Oryctolagus cuniculus: one gene and its partners. The protein of the gene in region 1 interacts with the protein of each later gene in a pairwise test. Links are inferred from orthologs where the notes say so. Each region holds a gene or a part of one and is shown on either strand. Other genes may lie near its edges. The genes, in order: CCDC136, TCEA2, FAM107A, NEBL, PSMD9 and HMG20A.

Region 1 (3,950 bases):
AGGCCCCCCGGCCCGCGGCAGGCGCTCACCCTGCAGCTCCAGGGAGTCGTCCTCATGCTGCCCGACCAGCTCCCGCGTCTCCTCCAGCTCGGCCACCAGCTGCAGCACCTGGGCTCTCAGCTCGTCCAGCTCAGTCTCGGTGAGGCTCAGGCCCCGGTGCTTGCTCAGGGACAAGGAGCCTCCGCTGCCAGCCTTCTGCATGTGCTCAGCTTCTTCTTCTTCCACCTCCTCCTCCTCCTCCTCTTCCTCCTCATAGAGAGCTGGCAGTAACACCTCTCCTGGGAGAGACGCCCAGCCCAGAAGAGAGTCAGTGCCAGCCTCCTGTGCGTGGCCCTTCCAGAGGGCAGAGCGGCGTAACAGTGCCGCCCGGTGTGCCCAGGAGTCCCCTGGATGCCTGATGAGCCCTAGGTGTTAGGGGCAGGTCAGGAGGCCACCTCGCCCTCCCCTCCCCCAGATCCTCCTGGCCCAACGGCACGCTTGGTGGCCTCTGCCTCCAACCTGTGGGCAAACAGTCTCCTGGCTCAGCCCGGGGAACCACACATGCACACCCAAGTCTTTTCTAGTGTGTTCTCTGGGGAGAGGGCTGAATGGTCAGGAGATTCGGACACCAGGCATGCCTTTAGGCCAATCAGGGCCAGAGTTACAGTTTGAGGATTTGTAGAAAGTTTTTTTTTTTTAAATTATTCAGGTGGCTTAGTGTAAAATTAGCCTTTCCATAATAAGCAAACATTGCCCGTCAGTAGGTAGAGAAAGAAAACATGTGAATGAAATGATTCTAAATTCACTGGACAAACGCGGGGGCCCTTTCAAACGCATTCTGTCAAACAGCTGTTTGGAATTTTCTGCAAGCTCCCCTTGCTTGGCCCTGCTGGGGCTGGCTGTCACGGGGCCTCCCCTCCCCACCTGAGCAGGGTGAGGCCCCTCCTCCCTTGGCCCTCCTGGCTGTCACAGGGCCTCCCCTCCCCACCTGAGCAGGGTGAGGCCCCTCTTCCCTTGATAACCCCTCTTGCCCCTGGAGTTTTCAGGGCAAGTCTTAGCTTGCACCTGTGTGTAAAAGTGAGCCTGCCACTGTAATGTGTTTCAAAGGAAAAAAATAATAATAATAATAATAGCAACAGGGGGGGGTTAGGTGCTGGTCCCCAGCCCCTGGTTGGCGAGCAGCCCCTCTTTCACTGCAATGCAGTTCCTGGAAATAGCAAAATCTTGTCTGAACGGTGATTGTCTGCTTTGTCTTCAAATGCAGAGGCTCTGCTCTTACTTCCTCTTAGCAGCAGCCTAAGGCTCAGCTGGGACCCCTGTGTCACCTGCCCCTCTTAAGGGGACCAGGGTGGCCCACACCGAATAGGCGGAGGGGCCTGGGGACTCCTCCCAGGGAGTCCCGGCACCTGGACCAGCCGTGTTCTTCCAGGGGCCCGGCGTTGGCTGCGGTGCCCAGTCACACGGGTGGGGTGGGCACCCACGTGCGTCGGAGGGGACGGCCTCACCTGCCCTTCCTGGCCTGGCTCTTCCAGGCGACCAGAGCCCGGAGGACCGCAGCTGCGAGACTTTGCTTTGAAGTGCATGGCGGTGCCCATGCCCTTGCCTTTTTTAAAAACCAGAGACAGCTTGGGATCTGGGTCGCAGGCGGGGAGAACGAACCCCCCACTGAAAGACTGCTTCAAAGCTCTGTCCACAGAGGCCTGGTTCTCTGTCTGGCAGCTCCCCAGGGGCACGCAACCTGGTTAGCTGTGCCATCGGGGCCCCAAAGGGATGCACCTTGAACTTTCCTCAGAGCGCCCTGGGGAGGACTGGAGTTCCCACCCAAAGGAGGAGGGGCCTGAGGGAAACAGAGGTCAGGGCTGTGGCACGGGCTCGGAGCTCTGGGGTCACAGGGAGGGAGGAGAAGGGACCGGAAAGAAAGATGCCCTTTTGGGAAACTCACCCTCCATAGCTTGCATCCCTCGCCGCTCCAGGGACCCCCAGCGCTGGCCCTTCTTCCTCTCACAGCCCTCGGACACCTCATAGGAGCCTAAAGTGGTTACTGTGGGTCCTGTGAGCAGGGAGACAGGAAGCCATGTGGGGGGCAGGGGAAGAGAGGGGACGGACGTGCCTTCCAGGCCGGTGGGGCCCTGGGATCTGCAATCCCAGCGGAGGCGCCTGCCAGCTCAGCTCTGCGACTCCCCTCCCTCAGCCTCCCCCGCGGGGACCCCAGCCCAGCTGGGGTCCTGGTCTAGGCAGAAGGAGGGCGGGCGTATGTTCAGAAGAGGGGACCGAGAGGAGAGGGGCTGGGACGCAAGGAAGAGCAGCAGCCAGGAAGGGGGAGCGGCCGTGCGACTGCAAAGCGGCGACAGAGGCGCACGAAGGGGTCTGGGCGGGGACGCCCCCTACCCGCCCCGCCCCGCCCCTCCCGTCACACCTCGCCGGGCGCCCAGGAGCCTTTAGGACTGGAGGGGCTGCAGCGGCTGGAGCCCCCGCGAGCTGGAGGGGCAAGAGGGGAGGGCCCCCGGGGAGGATGTGGCCGCTGTACCGGAAAGATGGAGACCGGGCCCGGGACGCGCGGGGACGGAGGGAGGAAGGCTGAGGGCGGAGGGGTGGGCAGCGGAGGAGCAGGGATGCCCGGGGTCTGCAGGCAGGCGCGCAGGAGCGGAGGCAGGAGGGGCGGTGAGGGGAGGGAGGACGGCTCTGACCTGGGCCCGGGCAGCTCCAGCCCGCGGCTCCCGCGCCGGCCCCGGCGCCCGCCTCCATGGCCGCTCCCGCCGCTGCCGCCGCCTCCCCGAGCCGAAGCCGCAGCCGCCGGGCCGGGACCCGAATGGGCGCGCGGGGAGGAGAGAGGGCGGACCGAGGGGCGGGGCCTGGCCAGGCCTCCCGCTGCTGCCGCCGCCGCCGCCTCCCGGAAGCCCTCCCTGCGCGCTCTCTGCGAAGGTGAGCGCGCCTCGGCACGCCTCGGGTCTTGCCCTCCGACACGAGCTGCCCCGACAAGGAGCGGCCACATCCATCTGCTGTGGTGGCAGGGACGCCTCTGCGGCCGGTGTCGGGGCCCGGTCCTGCCCAATGACTGCGGAGGAAGGGCAAGGTGCCCATCCCCGCAGCGCGGTGACCCCCTCCAAGCGCCTTCGTGGGGGAAGCCAGGCCGGGACATGAGCACTGCGGGGCCTGAGCCCTCCGTGTTCCCTGGACGCCCACCCAGCCACAGCCCCGGGCCCGAAGACCCCTTCACCGTCCCGCTCTGTCTCCCTCCGGCCCACACCCAGTGGCTGCAAACCACGCCCCCGCCGAAGTCTGCCATGGTCACTCCAGTGGAAGGGAGCAGTGGGGTCCCAAAGGGCTTCTTATTCAACCGTCCACGCATTCAGGGAGTGGCTGCGGGCGCTGGATTGCCGAGGCAGTTGTCACCTCTCAGAAACGTGGGAGATCCCTAAACCCGAGGCGCACAGACCCCTTCTCTTGCATATCCGCCGCCAGGTTGGGGGGGGCACCTAGAAGGGCTGTCTGCCTTCATTCACCCCTGCGCCTCCTCCTCCCGGATTCCCAGGCCCTACACGTGGAAGGCCTCATCTGCTCCCCAGGGGATGCCCTCTCTGGGCTCTGCGCCTCCCAGCATGGTGGTGGGGGGCGAGGATCCTGTGTGCCCAGCTTCTTGAAGGTTGGGAAGTATCTTAGACCTTGTGTCTCCAGCATCGGTCAGAGTACCTGAGGCACAGAAGGCGCGTGTACAAGTCAAGCACAGGTAATGCTGTCTTAGCAGTGAGCAGAGGGCGACATCCTGTGCAGTCCACGGTGCCCATTAGCAAGAACGTTGCCTGCAAGTCCCTTACTCCCCAGCCCCTCTCCTGTCCCCTTGGCTCGGTCCCCCCCCCCCCCCCCGCAGCCTGAGGCGCTGAGAAATGGTGAACACAGGTCGGGGGTGTTTCCTGCACTTGCTCCAGACCTTGCGGCCAGAAGAGCCCAGTGAGCGGGAAATAGCAGCTCTG
Region 2 (3,098 bases), on another chromosome or scaffold:
GGGTCTGTGGCGTGTGCTCCTCCGGAAGCCCCCTGCTCCCGCTGATTTCCACAGGGCTGTGCCCGCTGGGCCGGAGGATGCAGCCTGGGCAGCGGGCGGCCCCACTTTCTCTGTCAGAGGAAGCTGGCCTTGGATGACCCCTGCCTCGTTTTCCACTCAGGCAGCTCCTGATTGCCTAGGCTGCCCTCGCCTCAGACCTAAGCAGGGTGGGTGCCCTGAGAGGATGAGCTCTGACCTGGTGGGGACCACAGGACCCGCCCCCTGTGGCCAGCTGGGCAGACCCCACAGGAACGCCAAACTGGGTGGACAGGGTGGGGTCACGGGCAGCCCATCTCTCTGCAGCCGCAAGAGGCTGGAGCTGCCCAGGACGCCATCCACCCCAAGGATGACCACGTTCCCCCCGGTGCCTGTCACCTGCGATGCTGTGCGCACCAAGTGCCGCGAGATGCTGAGCGCCGCCCTGCAGACGGACGGTGCGTGTCCAGTGAGACAGCCCCGCTGCCCCAGCCCCCGCTCAACATCAGGCAGGGGGGGCCGTCTTGGGGGTCACCAGAGTACTGGCTCCAGGCCAGGGTGCTGTGCGGGCAGAGAACCAGTCGGGGTGCTGGTGGGGTCCTTCCCGCAGGCGACCACGTGGCCATCGGTGTGGACTGTGAGCGTCTGTCAGCCCAGATTGAGGAGTATATCCTTTGTGTGCAGCTGTGGGCCAAGGGGTCTGGCAGAGGCGGGACGCTGGGCCAGGCTCCCCATGGGGGCTCCACTGTCCAGCTGCTTAGTGCCCTTTCTGGGCAGTCACTGGCTTTTGTTGTTTAAGGATTTATTTATTTTAAAGTCAGAGTTATAGAGAGAAGGGGTGGGGTGGGGGGAGAGAGAGGTGGATCTTCCATCTGCTGGTTCCCTCCCCAGATGGCTACAACAGCCAGGGCTGGGTGAGGCCAAAGCCAGGAGTTTCACCTGGACCTCCCCTGTGGGTGCAGGGACCCAGGGACTTGGGCCATGAGCAGGGAGCTGGATAGGAAGTGGAGCAGCTGGGACATGAACTGGCACCCGTATGAGATGCCGGCGTTGCAGGCAGTAGCTTTACCCGCTATGCACCAGCCACTGACTTTTATCTGGGTGGTGGGGTAGCCTTACCCTCGGAGGGCCCTGCCTGCTGGAGGGGTCTGATTCTGGGCGCCCCCGTGGGCTGCCCAGGGCTGGTCAGCCCATCCCACCTGGCTGCCCTGGGTCCTCAGCAGAGCTGAGGTGCACCCTGAACTGGCCTGCAGGTGCCCCTGCCCACCTTCCCTGCGGCCTGCTCTGCCTGGCCCAGCAGCAGACCAGGTGGTGGGGCTGGGCAGGGCACCGCCTCCACGAGGGTCCTTAAGTGCCTGCACGCATCTTCCGGGACGTGGGCAGCACGGACATGAAGTACAAGAACCGCGTGCGCAGCCGCATCTCCAACCTCAAGGATGCCAAGAACCCCGACCTGCGGCGCAACGTGCTGTGTGGTGCCATCGCGCCCCAGCAAATCGCTGTGATGACCTCGGAGGTGAGCCCGTGGGGGGCTGGGGCCGCCCCTGCCAGACTGAGGGCTGAGCACTCGGCCCCTGCCCCCAGGAGATGGCCAGCGACGAGCTGAAGGAGATCCGCAAGGCCATGACCAAGGAGGCCATCCGGGAGCACCAGATGGCCCGCACGGGCGGCACGCCGACGGACCTGTTCACCTGTGGCAAGTGCAGGAAGAAGAACTGCACCTACACGCAGGTGAGCCCCCCGGCCTTGGCCTGGGGGTGCCTTTCCCCCCAGCCTCTGGGTCTCTGACGCCTTGAGGGGTGGTCCCCTTCACGGCCTCACGCTCCCAGTCCAGGATGCCTCCCACTGATGGAGGCAGAGACCGTGTGGCCCCCAAAGACATGAGGAGAGCGGGCAGAGGCCGAGGGTGAGCACAGCTTCTCCACGGGCTCTGGGGCCCGGCATTCACTGGGGTAACACCCCCGGGCCTCCACGAGCACTGGGACCCCTTCCTGCTGGGGTCCTACGACCACCTCCTCGCTTCCCCAGAAGCCCAGCTTTGGAAGGTTGGGGTTGCTGGGCAGCCCAGGGCCCAGGGGCCCAGGCCAGCTGTGGGCCCACCCAGCCCTCCATACAGGTGCAGACCCGCAGCTCTGACGAGCCAATGACCACCTTCGTCGTCTGCAACGAGTGTGGGAACCGCTGGAAGGTAGGTGGGTGGGGCCCAGCCCTGGGCCAGCCTGTCCAGCCCCCCTCCCCGTGTCAGCCCTGGCCCAGCCTGTCCTGCCCCCCCCCCCCCCCAGGGTCTCGAGTCAGCCCTGGGCCAGCCTGTCCAGCCCCCCTCCCCGTGTCAGCCCTGGCCCAGCCTGTCCTGCCCCCCCCCCCCCCAGGGTCTCCCCTGGGCTGACACCACTGAGGGGCTCCTTCTTCCTTGCAGTTCTGCTGAGCTTCTGCCTGTTGCTGCAACCTTGGCTGTGGCCAGTGCTGGCTCTCCTGGGCGTCTCTGGAGACCACAGGAGGCCACATGCCCTGCCCCACCCGCCTACCTGGAGTGCACCTTCCTGCCCCTCCATGTCCTTATTAAATGTCTCTTTGCTGTCCCTGGCTCCTGGTCCTCCTGGGTTGTGTCCAGGTTTCAGCTGGGCCTCTGGTGGCCAGGCAACCCTGTAGGAAACACTTGGGCAGCCCCCCAACATCCTCAGGGCCTTTGGTCCTGGGGTACAGGGCAGCACGACCAAGCTGCACCACTCTGCCCAGTGTGTGCCCCCCTTCCCCTCCAGGACGGCAGTCCCTGTGCTGCCTCCGTGCAAGGGTGGGGTCTCATGGCTCCAGGCCAGTTCCAGCCTCAAGTCACTTTAATGCCCCAGAAACAGGCGGGAGTGTGGTGGTGATGCTGACCTCCAGGCCCAGGGTACTGTGACTGTGACCCCTGCCTAGCACCCGGGTCACCCAGTGTTCTACCCCAGCCTCCAGGGCCAGCTTTTGTTACCTGCGAGGGATCTGTCCATCCCAGACCCAGGCAGAGCCACCCCGACGGCCCCTCCCAGCCTGGAGTCTGGGGCAGTTCCTCTCTAACCCTCCCCAGTGCAGACACAAACAGGAGC
Region 3 (3,343 bases), on another chromosome or scaffold:
GCTTAAGCACTTGAGTCCCTGCCACCCACCTAAGAGGCAGGGTCCAAGTTGCAGCCAGCCGAGACCCAGTCCTGGCATGGCAGACAAGTGGGGAGTGAATCGGCAGAGGGAAACTCACTCTCTGTGCCTATCACATAAAACCTGGTCTCTGCAGTCAGACAGGCCCGGGTTCAGATCCTCACCCAGGCCCCTTATGGCTGTGGCTCGGAGGAGTGTCCTCAGCTGACCAGCCCCTGTTCCCTTCTCTGTAAAATGGGACAGTAAAGCTTCCACTCCGGGGGCTGCCAGGAGGATGGCATGGCGTCACTCCAAGGTGAAGCCCTGAGCCTGGGGGAGGTGGGAGGGCAGGGGTCTCCTGACGGCCCCCACCCCACCCCCGCAGGGGCCTGGGCGTGGACAGCAAGCCCGAGCTGCAGCGCGTGCTGGAGCACCGGCGGCGGAACCAGCTCATCAAGAAGAAGAAGGAGGAACAGGAGGCCAAGCGGCTGCAGTGCCCCTTCGAGCAGGAGCTGCTGAGACGGCAGCAGAGGCTGAACCAGGTGGGTGGAGAACCCAGCGCCGGCCCCAGCCTCTTCCAGGGCCGCCTCTGGGCCCAGAGAGGGCCTCTTCGTGTGGCCGCAGCTCGTCAGCAGGAGGAGCACTGGACCCGGAGTCCGCCAGCAGCCTGAGCCCTCGCTCTGCCACTCACGGCGCTGTGTGACTTGGAGGAATGGCTTCACCTCTCTGGACCTGAGCTTCGTCCTTGCCCCAGTGTGCCACAAGCCAGTTCTGATTTCACTCTCACATTGCCCTGTGAGCCAGGTGGCACTGCCACCTTGGGGGGGGGGGGACTGAGGCCCAGGTGCAGTCAGCGGTGCTCTGTCCACCCAGGCCCGTTCCGTCTCCCTCCCGAGGACACCCAGACCCCTCGGTTCTGAGACCAGGAATGAATTCTCGCAGCCCCATCCGCTTCACACCGCTGTGTCTCTCTCCTTCAGCTGGAAAAACCCCCGGAGCAGGAGGAAGAGCACGCGCCGGAGTTTATGAAAGTCAGGGAAAACCTGCGGAGGATCGCCACGCTGCCCAGCGAAGAGCGAGCCCTGTAGAGCGGCTGCAGCGCCCGGCAGCCCGGGCCCCCCACCCCGTGCCACGCACACCTGCTCCTGTAGAACAGCCTGGCCCTGGGAAGCTGGCGCCCCCTGAACGCCCAGCCGTTTCCTTCTGAGCACACTCCCCCCCTGCCCCAAAGGGAAGCCATTGCCAGGTGAACCCTCACCAAGGTGCCCCTCCCTGCACAACTGCACAGTGGGTATCGGAGCCCCTCTGGCTGTCAGGCCCGGAAGCAGCCCGGCTCCCTGGTCTCAGAGAACTCACCCACCTGTGGTTTCACCTGTGGCCAGGTGAGAGCAGCTAAGCAGAGCTCAGCTTCCAGGACACCCGCTTTGAAAGCCACCAAGGGCAGTGAGGGAAGGCACTGAGGCAGGGTGCAGCGCCCATGGTGGCAGCAAGCAAGGTAGACACTCACGAAGGGCACTGAGGGTTTGCCAACGCCCCCCACCCCCACCACACCCAAGCTTTGCTCTCCTCCTCTCCCCCGCCCAGTCCGGACCTTGTGAACACACCTAACGATGCGTTTCACACACCTGCTTGTGCGTAGGAGCCACAGGGGCTCATGTTCAGTTACGGCGCCTGATCTGGCGGACGTGGGCCGGGGGCTCCCAGGAAAGGCCGAAGCTGGAGCACCCGGGGTGGACCCTGCCTTGGGGCTTCCCCACCCCACTCCACGGAAGACTGTGGCTCTCTGGCCCAGCGTCTGTGTCGCAGATGTAATGAGTGTTTTCCCCAGGGACAGACGTAATTGCCAATCTGTGTTTCTCACCTGTGCAACTGCACCAATATGCGACTCCAGCCAAAAGCAGCGAAGACTTCACCTTTTCCTCTCGCCTTTGGAGAGCGTGTGCTCCCACCCCCACCCAGCACCTCCAGAGAGAGCTGCCACCCACCACCCAGATGCCCTTTCTCACTCCTATCTGGGTGACCAGCCAGGGACCAAGGGTGGCGTCTCCTTCCTGTGAGCGGTGCCCGCAGAGGTGTAGATGTAGCCATTCTGTCTCTGTGTGTGCATGCTCATATTCACGTTCAACCGAGCTCAAAAAGCTCCTGAACCTGACGCGCTGAGGGTGCGGTGCCGCTGTGTAAACATCAGCCGGATGAGGTTTATGCCGAAGATGCACGATCCCTAAATAAAGGCCACCTGTGCCCCAGAAGTCCCCCTTGGGGGTCTGTGTGTTGTTCGGACGTGTGGAGAGAAGCCAGACTGGGCGTCCGGGAGGAAGCAGGCCATTCCCAGGGAACTCGTGGAATTCCAATGGATGGCCACCAGGGTGCTCCTTGGAGGCAGCATGTCATGGAGAGAAAGTCCCAGAGGTGGAAGGGACCTCAAGCCCCAGGGGAGCCATGGCAGACACCCAGTTCACTCCCCAGTGGGCAGTCCAACTCCATCTCCCTAGCTACTGCCTGCTAGACGCTGTAAATCCAGACTCTCACTATTCCACCTCTTTTGACACTGAAGGTGACCATGTGACCATGTATGGCCAATGAAACTGGAGAGGAAGTCCACAGGGGCTTCTGGGAAAACTCAGGCTTTTCGGATGAAAGAGCCATGGCTAACACCTCCCTCCCTTTCCCTTCCTCCTGCCTTGACTGAGGAAGTGACGCCTGGAGCCACAGCAGACATTTTACCACATGAGGAAAAAAAGCCAAGAGAATCGCAGACATCAACCCTATCGTCCTTGGACCAAGCCAGTGCCAGCAGCTATCCTCCAGAGGTCTTGTAAATAAAAATAAATCACTCTTTGTTGTAAGCCATCGTTGGTCAGTCTCTGTTAACTGTAACCAAAAGCATCCCTATGGACACAGAAGGCCAGACGTGTCTGCCCAGAATTACCTGGAAGATCACACTACAAATTCCGATATCTCGTTCTCATCAGAAACCTATTGGGTTGGAATTGCCCGGCTGTAGGACAGAGGTCTGTCTTTCTACACCTTCTCCTTCTGGCCTGACACAGGCACTTGGGCCTGACTAATGCACACATCATTCAACAAGCACTTGGAGAGTGTTTGCTCTGAGAAGGAAGCCCGCTACATCCCAGGGCGTCACTTAGAACAGAGCCTGCCCACCACCTGGACCCTGCGTCGGTCACCCCCAGCTGGTCTCCCTGTGCTGCCCTTGCCCCAGAGCCCATACCCAGTGTGGCAGCCAAGGTGGTGCTGCAGATCCTGCCGCTCTGCACAGGGCCCTCCACTGGCTCCCAGCGCAGCCCTTCCAGCATCTAGAAGGTCCTACGTTCCCAGCTCCCTAACT
Region 4 (4,131 bases), on another chromosome or scaffold:
TTCTGATTCTCAAATCACAGTGGAAAATTTTTGTTCACATTGTACATTGTGTTTAGTTTCTCTTTCAAAACTTTGGCACGTTAAATCTCAACAGATAATTTTCTCCAGTGCAGTGAAGAGTCAATAAAAGCATGCTACGTGATGGAAAATAAGAAAACAGCTGCCCTTCATGCCTGATGAAGGTGATTCGCCATGGGGAATAGATGTGGCCATGAGTAACCCAAGAATTGTCACTTCACATACAAACCAAGAGGTATGTCTTAGACAGTTTTGTCGAGGTTTTCCCCTATACTTCGAGAGGTTGATAAGAAAAGTTTCTAGAAATTTCTGCTTTCTGTTTACAAAAGTGGTATCACAGGTTTTCTATCAAGTATTGGAATTATCTTGGGCAGAGAACTTGAGGGAAACAATCAGGGTTCGCAATTCTCCCCTTTTATGATAGAAATATAATATATATAAATAATTTCCTTGTATCTGCTATTGTGGCTGTGCAGAGCTGTTATCTTAAAGTTAAGATTTCCATATTCAACATGCTGGAGCAATTTCTTTTTGTCATTTGCTGGTAAGCAGAATATGTGGTGCTATTCATTTAGCCTGTTATCAAAAACTCTTTCACGACAACACCTGCCACTCTTTCACACCATGTATTTTGTTAGAATAGAGCAAAATATTTCCTAAGTAATAAGCAATATTTTACAGAAATGTGTTAGTTTTCTGTGGCAGTGGCTATCATTGAAAAACAAAGATGGATAGATACATTTGATGTAATAAAATGGATAGAATTCATGTTTTAGAAATATTTGGTTAGGCAAACAAAAATGGGGTTTTTGGTTGAGGGTCTTCTCAGAACTTCTCATGGGTCAGTGTGCCATGTGGTTCTCCAAGTGGCAGAGAGAGATTAGTGCCAAGGTGTCCCAAATGTGTTTGTTTAAGAAACCCACTCCCCACCTTAAGTGTTCCTTGGCTCCATGGAATTCTGCCTGGGAAATCATTCCTACTTCATGCTTGTGAGGAATGTTTCTCTTGACAGAATTTTCAGTTTAGGGAGGGCCAAATGCATTTCTAAAAATAAATTGAAAACTATAATCTAAGAAGAAAACAGTATTATCTTTGACTGCTTCAGATGACGTATTATTTTGTATGAAGTTGTATTTTATATAATTAGCTCCATTATTCACCATAGGGTGTTTTTTATGTCCAACATTGGTATGCTGTGGCTGTGTAGATGTTAATGTATCCTAGGACTTTAGTAACCAAATTAATAAATTTAAGTTGTATAGAATCTTGACATTAAAGGATTTTGAGAAATAGATCTTTAATTATATAAATTATGACACATGCCACAATATATATACTGTGATTATTTTTCCAAAGTTTTCCAAGTATGTAGGATGCATTGAAGAATATACAAATAACTAGTAAAATTGTAAAAACTGACAAGATGAGTAGAATGTAAAGAGGATGATGATTATTTTTTGAGATATGGGAGTTTTTGGATTCTTAAATGATACATCAGCATGTTAATTGCTGCTTCTCATGTTTAATAATGTTTACAATTAGTATAACACTCACCAATATAAGATTAACAGTCATAATTAATTCAGGATAGATTCTTTCAAGTGGTACAAAAGGCTTTTCATAATAAATTACTAGCCTTTAATCAGCTCATATAAAGTGGGTAGTTTTTAAGATGAGAGAAATATGTGTATGTCTTATAAAACATTTAATTTAAGTTAGTGAAATGAGTTTGAATGATCCAGAGTCACTGTAACCAATCAGAGTTATGTCTGACATTCCAGTTACAGCTTTATTTAGATGGAGTTGAGGAATCTTTGTGATAACAGGCATTTGACTGTGCTATCTTAAGTGTTACAGCCAAGTAGTTTTCCAAGAATCTTTAAGTCCATTTCAGACTATCTTATGAATGAGTTGAGTCAGTGAAAGATAAATAAATTTCCTCTTTAGAATTTCTTAACCAGTTTAAAGAATGTTGACTTTCAAAATTCATAAAATTGAATTCTGCCCAAGAACACGTTGTTTGTACTTGTGGGGCTAGCCCTGCAGACCTCTGGGATGCTGTCCACTCACTCACACACCACTGAGATAAGGAGAGTGAAGTGCGAGCTAAATAGAGCGGGAACTGGGCAAGGTCATTCCTGCCACAGCGCCTCCTGCACCCAGAGAGCCGGGCTGTGCGGGCCCCAGCAGACACTGCACACGTAGATTTTTAAAATACAGGTGTTTTGAAAGGGTAAAAATGAAAGTCCCTTTAGTGGAGGATGTAAAAGATGAAACTGAAGAGGAAAAAACAGGGGAAGAAGAAAATGAAGAAGACAAGGTGAGTGAGAAAGCAGCTACCCAAGCCTGATATTTGTTCCTGTAAACTGGTAGTGAGAAAAATGTTCTCTTTCCTTTTTTTGAACAGGTGTTCTTTAAGCCTGTTATTGAAGACCTGAGCATGGAATTGGCTAAAAAATGCACCGAACTAATTAGTGATGTAAGTGGCCTAAGTAACTTTTATTTGACATTACATGTGTGGTATATTACCCACCATACACGATTATAGAGAGAGTGTCATTGAGTGGGGGAGACAACCCTGAAACTAGCTCTTAAAACACAACGATTTTCAGATTGTGGAATTAAGTCCAAAAACGGTAAGTGCTTTCTCCAAGGTCACCTATCCAGGGAATTTCTGCTGGAACAGGTCTTCTCCTTCTTCATCTGGAATTCTGTCCCTTAGGAATTTTACTGACAGACTGGCATGGAATCCTAAGGCATTCAATTGTAGAGCATATTCTGTTTGAGAACCTAAGGAATCTGAAATTATTATCATGATGGAATTTGTCTTGAGAGGAACTCTGCTAAATGAATAATTTTAACATTTTGGAGGCCTTTTGATTAATCTGATGAATGCATTCATTTTGCAAGTGAGGAAAATGCGTTTGCTTATATGCATATAGCTTTTGGGTAGCATTTAGGATTTCTGGATTACTGACGTGCATTGTTAAGAACTCTGATACAAATAATGCTGGTGCTGTTAGTGAAAGGAGCATTTTGGGGGGACTTTTTTTTTTTTTTTTTTTTGACAGGCAGAGTGGACAGTGAGAGAAAGAGACAGAGAGAAAGGTCTTCCTTTGCCGTTGGTTCACCCTCCAGTGGCCGCTGCAGCCAGCGCATCGCGCTGATCCGAAGCCAGGAGCCAGGTGCTTCTCCTGGTCTCCCATGCGGGTGCAGGGCCCAAGCACTTGGGCCATCCTCCACTGCACTCCCTGGCCATAGCAGAGAGCTGGCCTGGAAGAGGGGCAACCGGGACAGGATCCGGCGCCCCGACCAGGACTAGAACCCGGTGTGCCGGCGCCGCAAGGCGGAGGATTAGCCTGTTGAGCCGCGGTGCCAGCCTTGGGGGGACTTTTTTCAGTGACTGGGATAGAATTATTTAGCCTATATGTATACGTACACACTTACAGTAAATGTGTAGACTAGGATTCTAGAAGTACAAGGAAAGAAGGTTGCTCCCTAGTGGTGAGGGCTGCCTTGAAAGAGCAAAGATGGCTCCTGGAAAGCAAATGTGTGCGTGTGTCTTCCTTCAGGGAGAGGAGTGCATACAGGTTACTTCTGTTGTTAATGAGCAAGGTGATTGGAACATTTCACAATTGCCTGTTTTCATGGGAAACAGTGGTGGGATGTGGGCTAGCGTGCCGGTGTGCTCTCTGAAGTCAGCCTACCTGAGTGGACTCCATGGTAATGTGGGAAGGTTGTATAACCTGACTGAGCCCAGAGCCTCAAGTGTAACATCCTAATTATAAACTTAAATAATGGTAGCACAACTAGATGCTATCTAAACTATCCAGAACACTGTGATCAAGTATTCCATCTGTAACATCTGCATCCATGCAGTCACCATTTATATAGAACTCTGTGCTGCTTTCTGGTTTATCAGAAAGAGCCAAAGGATGGTGGTGGGCATCATACCCTCCCCGTATATTTGACAAGTGCTGTGGTTAGCATATGCATTGAGTATTTCTACAAAGTAATGGCGTAAGCTGTTAGTAATAGTCATATGCTACTGTACACGGATGTTCTTTGTATACTACAGTGATGCTAGTGAAATGACAAGAATAACAATATCTG
Region 5 (3,926 bases), on another chromosome or scaffold:
AATATTTATTTATTTGAAAATCAGAGTTAGAGAGAGAAGGGAGGGAGGGAGGGAGAGAGAGAGAGAGAGAGAGAATGAATCTTCCCTCCTTTGGTTCACTGCCCAGATGGCCACAATAGCCAGGGCTGGGCCAGGCCAACGCTACAACCCAGGAGCTTCATCTGGGTCTTCCATGTGGGTGGCAGAGGCCCAAGCATGGACTGTCTTCTGCTGCTTTCCTATGTGCATTTGCGGGGAGCTGGATGGGAAATGGAGCAGCTGGGACTGGAACTGGGATGCCAGCATCACAGGTGTGGCTTCATTGGCTATACTGCTATGTTGGCTCCAATTTTGCAACTTTTTAACTTAATTTTTATTATTTTATTTTTAAAAAACTTTGAGGTGTTAATCTACCACCATTCTCTATTTTTTTGTGTATATTTATCCATAGTTTTTATATACTTTTCAAAAAGACTCATTATTTGAAAGGCAGAGTTACAGAGAAGCAGAGGCAGAGAGAGAAAGAGGTTTTTCATCCACTGGTTCACTCCCCAAATGGCTGCAATGGTCGGAGCTGGGCCGGTCCAAAGCCCGGAGCCAGGAGCTTCCTCCAGGTCTCCCACATATGTGCTTGGACCCAAGGACTTGGGCCATTTCCTACTGCTTTCCCAGGCCAAAGCAGAGTGCTGGATCAGAAGTGGAACAGCCAGGACTCGAACCAGTGCCCATATGGGATGCGGCATTTTTACTTGCTATGCCACAGAGCTGGCCCCAATTTTATTTTTAAAGTTTTTTTAATTTATATTTTACATGTGGAGTTGGAGAGATCTTCCATCCATTGGTTCACTCTCCAAATGGCTGAAACAACCAGGGGAGGGCTGCAGTAAGGGGCACAAACTGGAATTCGAACCCAGGACTGTAGAGTTTGTAAAACAGGAGATTAAAAAAAATATGAATTTATGTACATTTCAAGGCTTTTGCAGAAGCGAGGAACCGAATCCAAGCACCGTGGCCCCTTTATCTGGGACATGCGTTTGGTAGGTGCCCGATAAATATTTGTTAAGCAAATGAGTAATGAAAATAAGTCACCCAGGGTGACATCACCCCGTAGCGCTTGTGCGTGCGGGGGCGTGGCTTCCAACGACCCCGCCCCTCGCGTCGCCCCGCGCTCGCGGACGGCTGAGGTGTTTTGGCCCGCGGGCGGAGCCGTAGCCACTCTCTGCCCAGGGTCCCGGGGTGGGGGGCCGCGATGTCGGATAAGGAAGCGATGCCGAGCGGAGGCGCCTCGCAGGCCCGCGCCGACACTATCAGCGACATCCAGGAGCTGATGCGGCGCAAGGAGGAGATTGAGGCGCAGATCAAGGCGAATTACGACGTGCTGGAGGGCGTGAGTGAGGGCTCGGGGCTGCCGGGCGGCGTGGGAGCGCCCCGAGGGCTTGCCGGGACGCTCGGCCGTGGCTGGTTCTCCCACGGCCTCCCTGGGCGGCGGCGCGGGCTGACCGCCCCCTGCGAGGGGCGCGGCGCGGGCGTCTCTCCCGGGGCTGGCCCGGCAGCTCGGTGCCGCCGAGCTCCCCGCGTTGGAGACCAGGAAGCCGATGGCGATCACCGCCGCCTGGGGTCCTGGTGGACGTGGGAGCCGCTGGAACGCCAGTGCGCATGCGGGACGCCTGGGGGCGTGGCTAGAGTGCGGGGCGTGCCGGGGGCGGGGCCTCAGGCGGTGCTCCTACTGCAGGCTCCGTGTGAGATGCCCTGGATGGACAGATCCCTGTGACATGTCCACGGTGGGCAGACCCGTGTGACATGTCCACGGTGGGCAGATCCCTGTGACATGTCCATGATGGGCAGACCCGTGTGACATGTCCATGATGGGCAGACCCGTGTGACATGTCCAGGATGGGCAGATCCCTGTGAGATGTCCACAGTGGTCAGACCTGTGTGACATGTCCATGATGGGCAGACCCGTGTGACATGTCCACGGTGGGCAGATCCTTGTGAGATGTCCACGGTGGTCAGACCTGTGTGACATGTCCAGGATGGGCAGATCCCTGTGACATGTCCACGGTGGTCAGATCCTTGTGACATGTCCAGGATGGGCAGATCCCTGTGACATGTCCACGGTGGGCAGATCCCTGTGACATGTCCAGGATGGGCAGACCCGTGTGAGATGCCCGGGATGGACAGACCCGTGTGAGATGTCCACGGTGGGCAGATCCCTGTGAGATGTCCCAGATGGGCAGACCCGTGTGATATGTCCACGGTGGTCAGATCCCTGTGACATGTCCACGGTGGGCAGACCCGTGTGACATGTCCACTGTGGGCTGACCCGTGTGAGATGTCCAGGATGGGCAGATCCCTGTGACATGTCCACGGTGGGCAGACCCGTGTGACATGTCCACGGTGGGCTGACCCGTGTGAGATGTCCAGGATGGGCAGACCCGTGTGACATGTCCAGGATGGGCAGATCCTTGTGAGATGCCCGGGATGGGCAGATCCCTGTGAGATGCCCGGGATGGGCAGACCCGTGTGAGATGTCCAGGATGGGCAGATCCCTGTGAGATGTCCCGGATGGGCAGATCCATAGGAACAGAAAGTAGTTGCTGGGGTCTGGGGGGAGGGAGTGAGAGTGATTGCTGATGAGGCTTCTTTTTGGGGGTGATGAAGATGTACTAAAATTGAGGGTGAGGGTTGGACGGGTCTGTGAATATTCTGAAAACCACTGAATTGTTCACTTTAGCCTAGTGTTTTGTTTTGTTTTGTTTTGGACAGGCAGAGTGGACAGTGAGAGAGAGAGACAGAGAGAAAGGTCTTCCTTTTGCCGTTGGTTCACCCTCCAATGGCCGCCGCGGCCGGCGCACCGCGCTGATCCGATGGCAGGAGCCAGGTGCTTCTCCTGGTCTCCCATGGGGTGCAGGGCCCAAGCACTTGGGCCATCCTCCACTGCACTCCCGGCCACAGCAGAGAGCTGGCCTGGAAGAGGGGCAACCGGGACAGAATCCGGCGCCCCGACTGGGACTAGAACCCGGTGTGCCAGCGCCGCAAGGTGGAGGATTAGCCTAGTGAGCCGCGGCGCCGGCCTGAATTGTTCACTGCTCAATGGAGCAATTTATGATAAGTGAACAATATCTCAATGAAACTTTCAAAAACGGGGAATCTGTGCTGTGGCCCAGTGGGTTAAGCCACCACTTGTGACACCAGCATGCCATGTCAGAGCTCCAGTTCCAGTCCCGGCTGCTCCACTTCCGATCCAGCTCGCTGCTGTGGCCTGGGAAAGCAGTGGAGGATGGCCTACGTGCTTGGGCCCTGCACCCACGTGGGAGACCCGGAAGAAGCTCCTCACTTCAGTCTGGCCCACCACTGATCATTGGGGCCATCAGGGCCCAGGAGAAAGATGGAAGATCTTTCTCCTCTCTCTCTCCTCTCACTGTAACTCTGACTTTAAAATAAATGTATCTTAAAAAAGAAAAAACTTTCAAAATTGGAACAACTCAGAGACAGCAAGTAATCTGGGATTGTAAAGACTGAATATTGAAGAGAACTGGAAAGAGAATCAATATTTTAATTGTAAAAGGATTTATTATTTATTTGAAAGGCAGAATTTCAGAGAGAGAGAGAGAGACCTTCCATCCACTGGTTCACTCTCCAAATGACTACAACAGCTGGGGCTGGAACTCCATCCAGGTCTCCCCCATGGGTGGCACGGGCACAAGTACTTGGGTACTGGATCAGAGGTGGAACAGCTGGGGTTTGAACTGGTGCTCATATGGGATGTCAGTGTTGCACATGGTGGCTTAACCCAATGCTGGCCCCAGGAATAAATATTTTCTTTATTTTTAAAAGATTTACTTATTTATTTGAAAGTCAGATTTAGAGAAAGAGAGAGATGCAGAGAGCGAGTGAGCTTCCATCCATTGGTCCACTCCCCAAATGGCTGCAATGGCCAGGGCCGA
Region 6 (3,500 bases), on another chromosome or scaffold:
CAGACACGCATACCCGGGACAGATGTGGAGCACTCTGCATGTCTAGGGCCTTATTCATCGGAAAATGAAACTTCCTATTCTCTGTGTTGGTGTTTATTGTTGTTGAGATATGTGTGGGGATTGTCATTGTTTGTTTTTTTTACTGTGCTTTGTTTTGTAGCAAAGAAGTAAACGAGGAGGTTGGTCCAAAGGAAGAAAGCGGAAGAAACCTCTTCGAGACAGCAATGCACCCAAATCCCCCCTTACAGGATATGTTCGGTTCATGAATGAACGGCGAGAGCAGCTTCGAGCAAAGAGACCGGAAGTCCCGTTTCCGGAAATCACGAGGATGTTAGGCAACGAATGGAGCAAACTGCCTCCTGAGGAAAAGCAGGTAATGGCTCTTCTCCTCGTCCTTTGCTTGGTATTGATTCTGTCTCAAAATAGCTGTGTCAGAAAAGCAAAGAGGAGCGATGAGTGGTTTGTCTTGCAGTTATGAGGCCTGCATCCCCCATCAGAGTGCCAGGGTTCAATACCCACTTCACCTCCACCTCCTACCTCCAGCTTCCTGCTGATGTGGACCCTGGGAGGCAGTGGTGATGGCCAAGTAACTGGGCTCCTGCCACCCATGGGAGAGACCTGATTGCATTCCTGGCATCATTTGAGAAGTGAACCATTGGATGTGAGAACTCGCTCATGTGCGCTTTCTCCATCTCGCTCCCTCTTTGTCTCTCAAAAAAACAAACAAACAAATAAAAGCAAAGAGGATGGATGGTTGCTTCTCTGATTTTGTTGCAGAGCCTAGGAGACTAAAATAATAGGATCCTTCATAGCTCTTTTCTCTAACAGTGGTTCTTAAACTTCATCACGGTTTGCTGCAGGGATGTGAGCAGGAGGTAGGACTCCCCTCAAATACAGCAGCTCCACTTCCATGAGTGTTTGATTTCTGTGCTAAGAGTTCACATCAGACTGTTTTGCAAAGTTGTTCAATATTAAGAAATTAAGAAATCAGTCAACAGGATTTATTCCACTGAGTTAAACAAAAATTGTGAATTAAATGGGAAGAAGTTCATTTGATAAGATGCTACAGTTCACGTCAGAATTTTGTTTATGGGCCAGCCAGCGTTGTGGCACAGCAGGTGAAGTGGCTACTTGTAATGCCAGCACCCATATCAGAGCACTGTGCAAGTCCTGGCTGCTTGGCTTCTGACCCAGCTTCCTGCTAATGCACCTGGTATTGATGGCCCACGTACTTGAGCCCCTGCCACCTGTGTAAGAATCCCAGATGGAGTTTTAGGCTTCTGGCTTCCAGCTGCGGCCTGGCTCAGTGCTGGCTTTTTTTTTTTTTTTTTTTTTTTTTTTTTCCTTTTTTTTTTTTTTCCTATATTTGGAGCTCACCAACAAATGGAATGTCTCTCTCTTTCCCTGTCTCCCTCTCTCTCTCCCTGCATCTCTCCCTCTGTCTCTGATGTTGCGCCTTTCAAATCAATAAATCTTTTTTTATAAAAAAATATTTTTGTTTCTGAAAAGGATTGTACTGCTTTAAGAATTTTTTTTTAGCTAGAGTTCTGGCAGATTTTACATACTATGGAAAATAAAGCAAGAACTACTTGAATTCTTTCTCATCTAAGACAGAGACTAGCCCTGTTGCCAAACTGAAACAAATCCATTTGTTGAAGAGATTTGAGGGGAATTAAGGACAAGGTAGCCTTGCGCTGGGTGAGATCCCACTGAAGCAGAGTGAGGCTGAAAGTTCCCACCAGCCTCAGCGTCTGAAAGATGTCCTTATTCTTTTATGTCTTAGACTCATAGATCTGTGACTTAACCCTCTTTTTTTTTTATTTTATTTACTTATTTGAGAGGCAGAGTCACAGAGAGAGAGAAAGGCCCTCAATGCTCTGGCTAACCCCCAAACAGCCATTGTAGCCGGAGCCAGGAGCCTCCTCCGGGTCTCCCACGCAGGTGCAGGGGCCCAAACAGTTGCGCCGTCCTCCACCATCTTCCCAGGCCATAGCAGAGAGCTGGATCAGAAGAGGAGCAGCTGGGACCAGTGCTTACACACAGATGCCAGCGCCACAGGCAAAGGCCCAACCCACTACACCACAGCGCCAGCCCTGACTTACCCTGTTTATAAAGAATGTCAGACAGGCCAAAACCAAATTGGAAAATGCTCTCTGGGTAATTAATTGAAGTCAAACACTTGTAAGAGGTTAGATCACATCGCTGTTTGTGGTAATAAGCTAATATAAAGAATATGTATCATGCGTTGTTTTGGCTTTACTGTATAAAGGGGTCAGGAACAGGGACATCCTAGCTAGATTATGATTTTCTCTTTGTTTCATTCAAAATTAATGCATATCCATTGTTTAACTTTGTTCAGACAGTACAGAAATGCCTACATGAAAAAGCAAAAGTGACAGTTTTCTCCAGGGATGACCACTGTTAGTTATGTGGGGAGAGAGTTTTGTGTTTTTGCTCTTTTCACTTTTTCTTTGCAAATAGTTTTAAATGTTCAAGTTACAAACAAAAATAATACAGAGAATATCCGCCCATGCTTTACTCAGATTGAAAGTGACAGACAGATTTGCCTGTTGACACATTTCATCCCATTTCTCCATTTCATTGCACTCATACTTGTACACACCCAATCTCTCTCTCACATGCACACATGCGGTTTTTTCTGAATCACTTGAGGGTAAGTGACATATAATCATGACCCTTTACCCCTGATTATTTCAGTGTATTAGAAATAGTCTCTTATGGAGCCGGCACTGTGGCACAGCTGGTAAAGCCACTGCCTGTGATGCTGGCATCCCATGTGGGCACCAGTTTGCGTCCCGGCTGCTCCACTTCCGATCCAGCTCCCTGCTAATGGCCTGGGAAAAGCAGCAGAGGATGGCCCAAGTACTTGGGCCTCTGCTACCCACATGGGAGACCCAGATGAGGCCACTGCCTCTTGGCTTCAGCCTGGCCCAGCCCCAGCTGTTGTGGCTGTTTTGTGGTGTGAACTAGCAGATGGAAGATCTCTGTCTCTCCTTCTCTCTCTGTACCTCTGCCTTTCAATAAATAAATAAGTCTTTAAAAAAAATTTCTCTCTTAAATTAACTGTAATAAGCAACTAAGTAAGAGCCTTCCTCCTCTGAGGAAGGCTTTTATTTGTTGTCTATTATTGGTATGAAAACAAATAGTTATTATTGCTATGAATCCTTTTTTCCCCAATGTTGTCTGACTTATTGTACATAATGATTTCATTGCTTAAGTGATCCCAGATTTGACTGGTTCACTCTCCTCTGTGTCTGGCTCATATGTGGCACAGAATTGTCAACAGAATTTCTAATTCTGGTTTGTGTTCATTCAGAAGCAGTACGTTCATATTTTCTTATACATAGTTTGATGACTGCACAGCTGAAGACATTAAACAGAATAATCCTGGTAGACCGATGAACCTTGTTTAAATAATTAATAGCACACAGCAACAGAGCATGTAGATAGAGGCTTTCTCGGAGTAGTCTGTTTTTGGA

What was found.
Region 2: the proteins of CCDC136 (region 1) and TCEA2 interact in binary tests that used the Homo sapiens proteins (3 or more experiments, as listed by UniProt). The two-hybrid records come from large-scale screens. The link is inferred for Oryctolagus cuniculus from reciprocal best matches to the Homo sapiens genes CCDC136 and TCEA2.
Region 3: the proteins of CCDC136 (region 1) and FAM107A interact in binary tests that used the Homo sapiens proteins (3 or more experiments, as listed by UniProt). The two-hybrid records come from large-scale screens. The link is inferred for Oryctolagus cuniculus from reciprocal best matches to the Homo sapiens genes CCDC136 and FAM107A.
Region 4: the proteins of CCDC136 (region 1) and NEBL interact in a two-hybrid assay, tested with the Homo sapiens proteins (2 studies listed by BioGRID and IntAct). The two-hybrid records come from large-scale screens. The link is inferred for Oryctolagus cuniculus from reciprocal best matches to the Homo sapiens genes CCDC136 and NEBL.
Region 5: the proteins of CCDC136 (region 1) and PSMD9 interact in binary tests that used the Homo sapiens proteins (3 or more experiments, as listed by UniProt). The two-hybrid records come from large-scale screens. The link is inferred for Oryctolagus cuniculus from reciprocal best matches to the Homo sapiens genes CCDC136 and PSMD9.
Region 6: the proteins of CCDC136 (region 1) and HMG20A interact in binary tests that used the Homo sapiens proteins (3 or more experiments, as listed by UniProt). The two-hybrid records come from large-scale screens. The link is inferred for Oryctolagus cuniculus from reciprocal best matches to the Homo sapiens genes CCDC136 and HMG20A.

The regions. Positions count from the first base shown.
Region 1 is NC_091434.1:164,988,742-164,992,691, reverse strand, and holds the start of CCDC136 (coiled-coil domain-containing protein 136), read right to left. Parts: upstream 2,801-3,950; 5' UTR 2,725-2,800; coding exon 2,667-2,724; intron 2,030-2,666; coding exon 1,922-2,029; intron 279-1,921; coding exon 30-278; intron 1-29. UniProt on the Homo sapiens protein: May play a role in acrosome formation in spermatogenesis and in fertilization.
Region 2 is NC_091442.1:140,122-143,219, reverse strand, and holds the end of TCEA2 (transcription elongation factor A protein 2), read left to right. Parts: intron 1-342; coding exon 343-473; intron 474-625; coding exon 626-682; intron 683-1,376; coding exon 1,377-1,531; intron 1,532-1,599; coding exon 1,600-1,746; intron 1,747-2,119; coding exon 2,120-2,203; intron 2,204-2,431; coding exon 2,432-2,440; 3' UTR 2,441-2,598; downstream 2,599-3,098. UniProt on the Homo sapiens protein: Necessary for efficient RNA polymerase II transcription elongation past template-encoded arresting sites.
Region 3 is NC_091441.1:91,452,716-91,456,058, forward strand, and holds the end of FAM107A (actin-associated protein FAM107A), read left to right. Parts: intron 1-382; coding exon 383-539; intron 540-977; coding exon 978-1,085; 3' UTR 1,086-2,843; downstream 2,844-3,343. UniProt on the Homo sapiens protein: Stress-inducible actin-binding protein that plays a role in synaptic and cognitive functions by modulating actin filamentous (F-actin) dynamics. Mediates polymerization of globular actin to F-actin. Also binds to, stabilizes and bundles F-actin.
Region 4 is NC_091444.1:47,216,688-47,220,818, reverse strand, and holds the start of NEBL (nebulette), read left to right. Parts: upstream 1-1,331; 5' UTR 1,332-2,257; coding exon 2,258-2,338; intron 2,339-2,425; coding exon 2,426-2,497; intron 2,498-4,131. UniProt on the Homo sapiens protein: Binds to actin and plays an important role in the assembly of the Z-disk. May functionally link sarcomeric actin to the desmin intermediate filaments in the heart muscle sarcomeres.
Region 5 is NC_091452.1:7,179,797-7,183,722, reverse strand, and holds the start of PSMD9 (26S proteasome non-ATPase regulatory subunit 9), read left to right. Parts: upstream 1-1,126; 5' UTR 1,127-1,228; coding exon 1,229-1,366; intron 1,367-3,926. UniProt on the Homo sapiens protein: Acts as a chaperone during the assembly of the 26S proteasome, specifically of the base subcomplex of the PA700/19S regulatory complex (RC).
Region 6 is NC_091443.1:108,018,573-108,022,072, forward strand, and holds part of HMG20A (high mobility group protein 20A), read left to right. Parts: intron 1-160; coding exon 161-373; intron 374-3,500. UniProt on the Homo sapiens protein: Plays a role in neuronal differentiation as chromatin-associated protein. Acts as inhibitor of HMG20B. Overcomes the repressive effects of the neuronal silencer REST and induces the activation of neuronal-specific genes.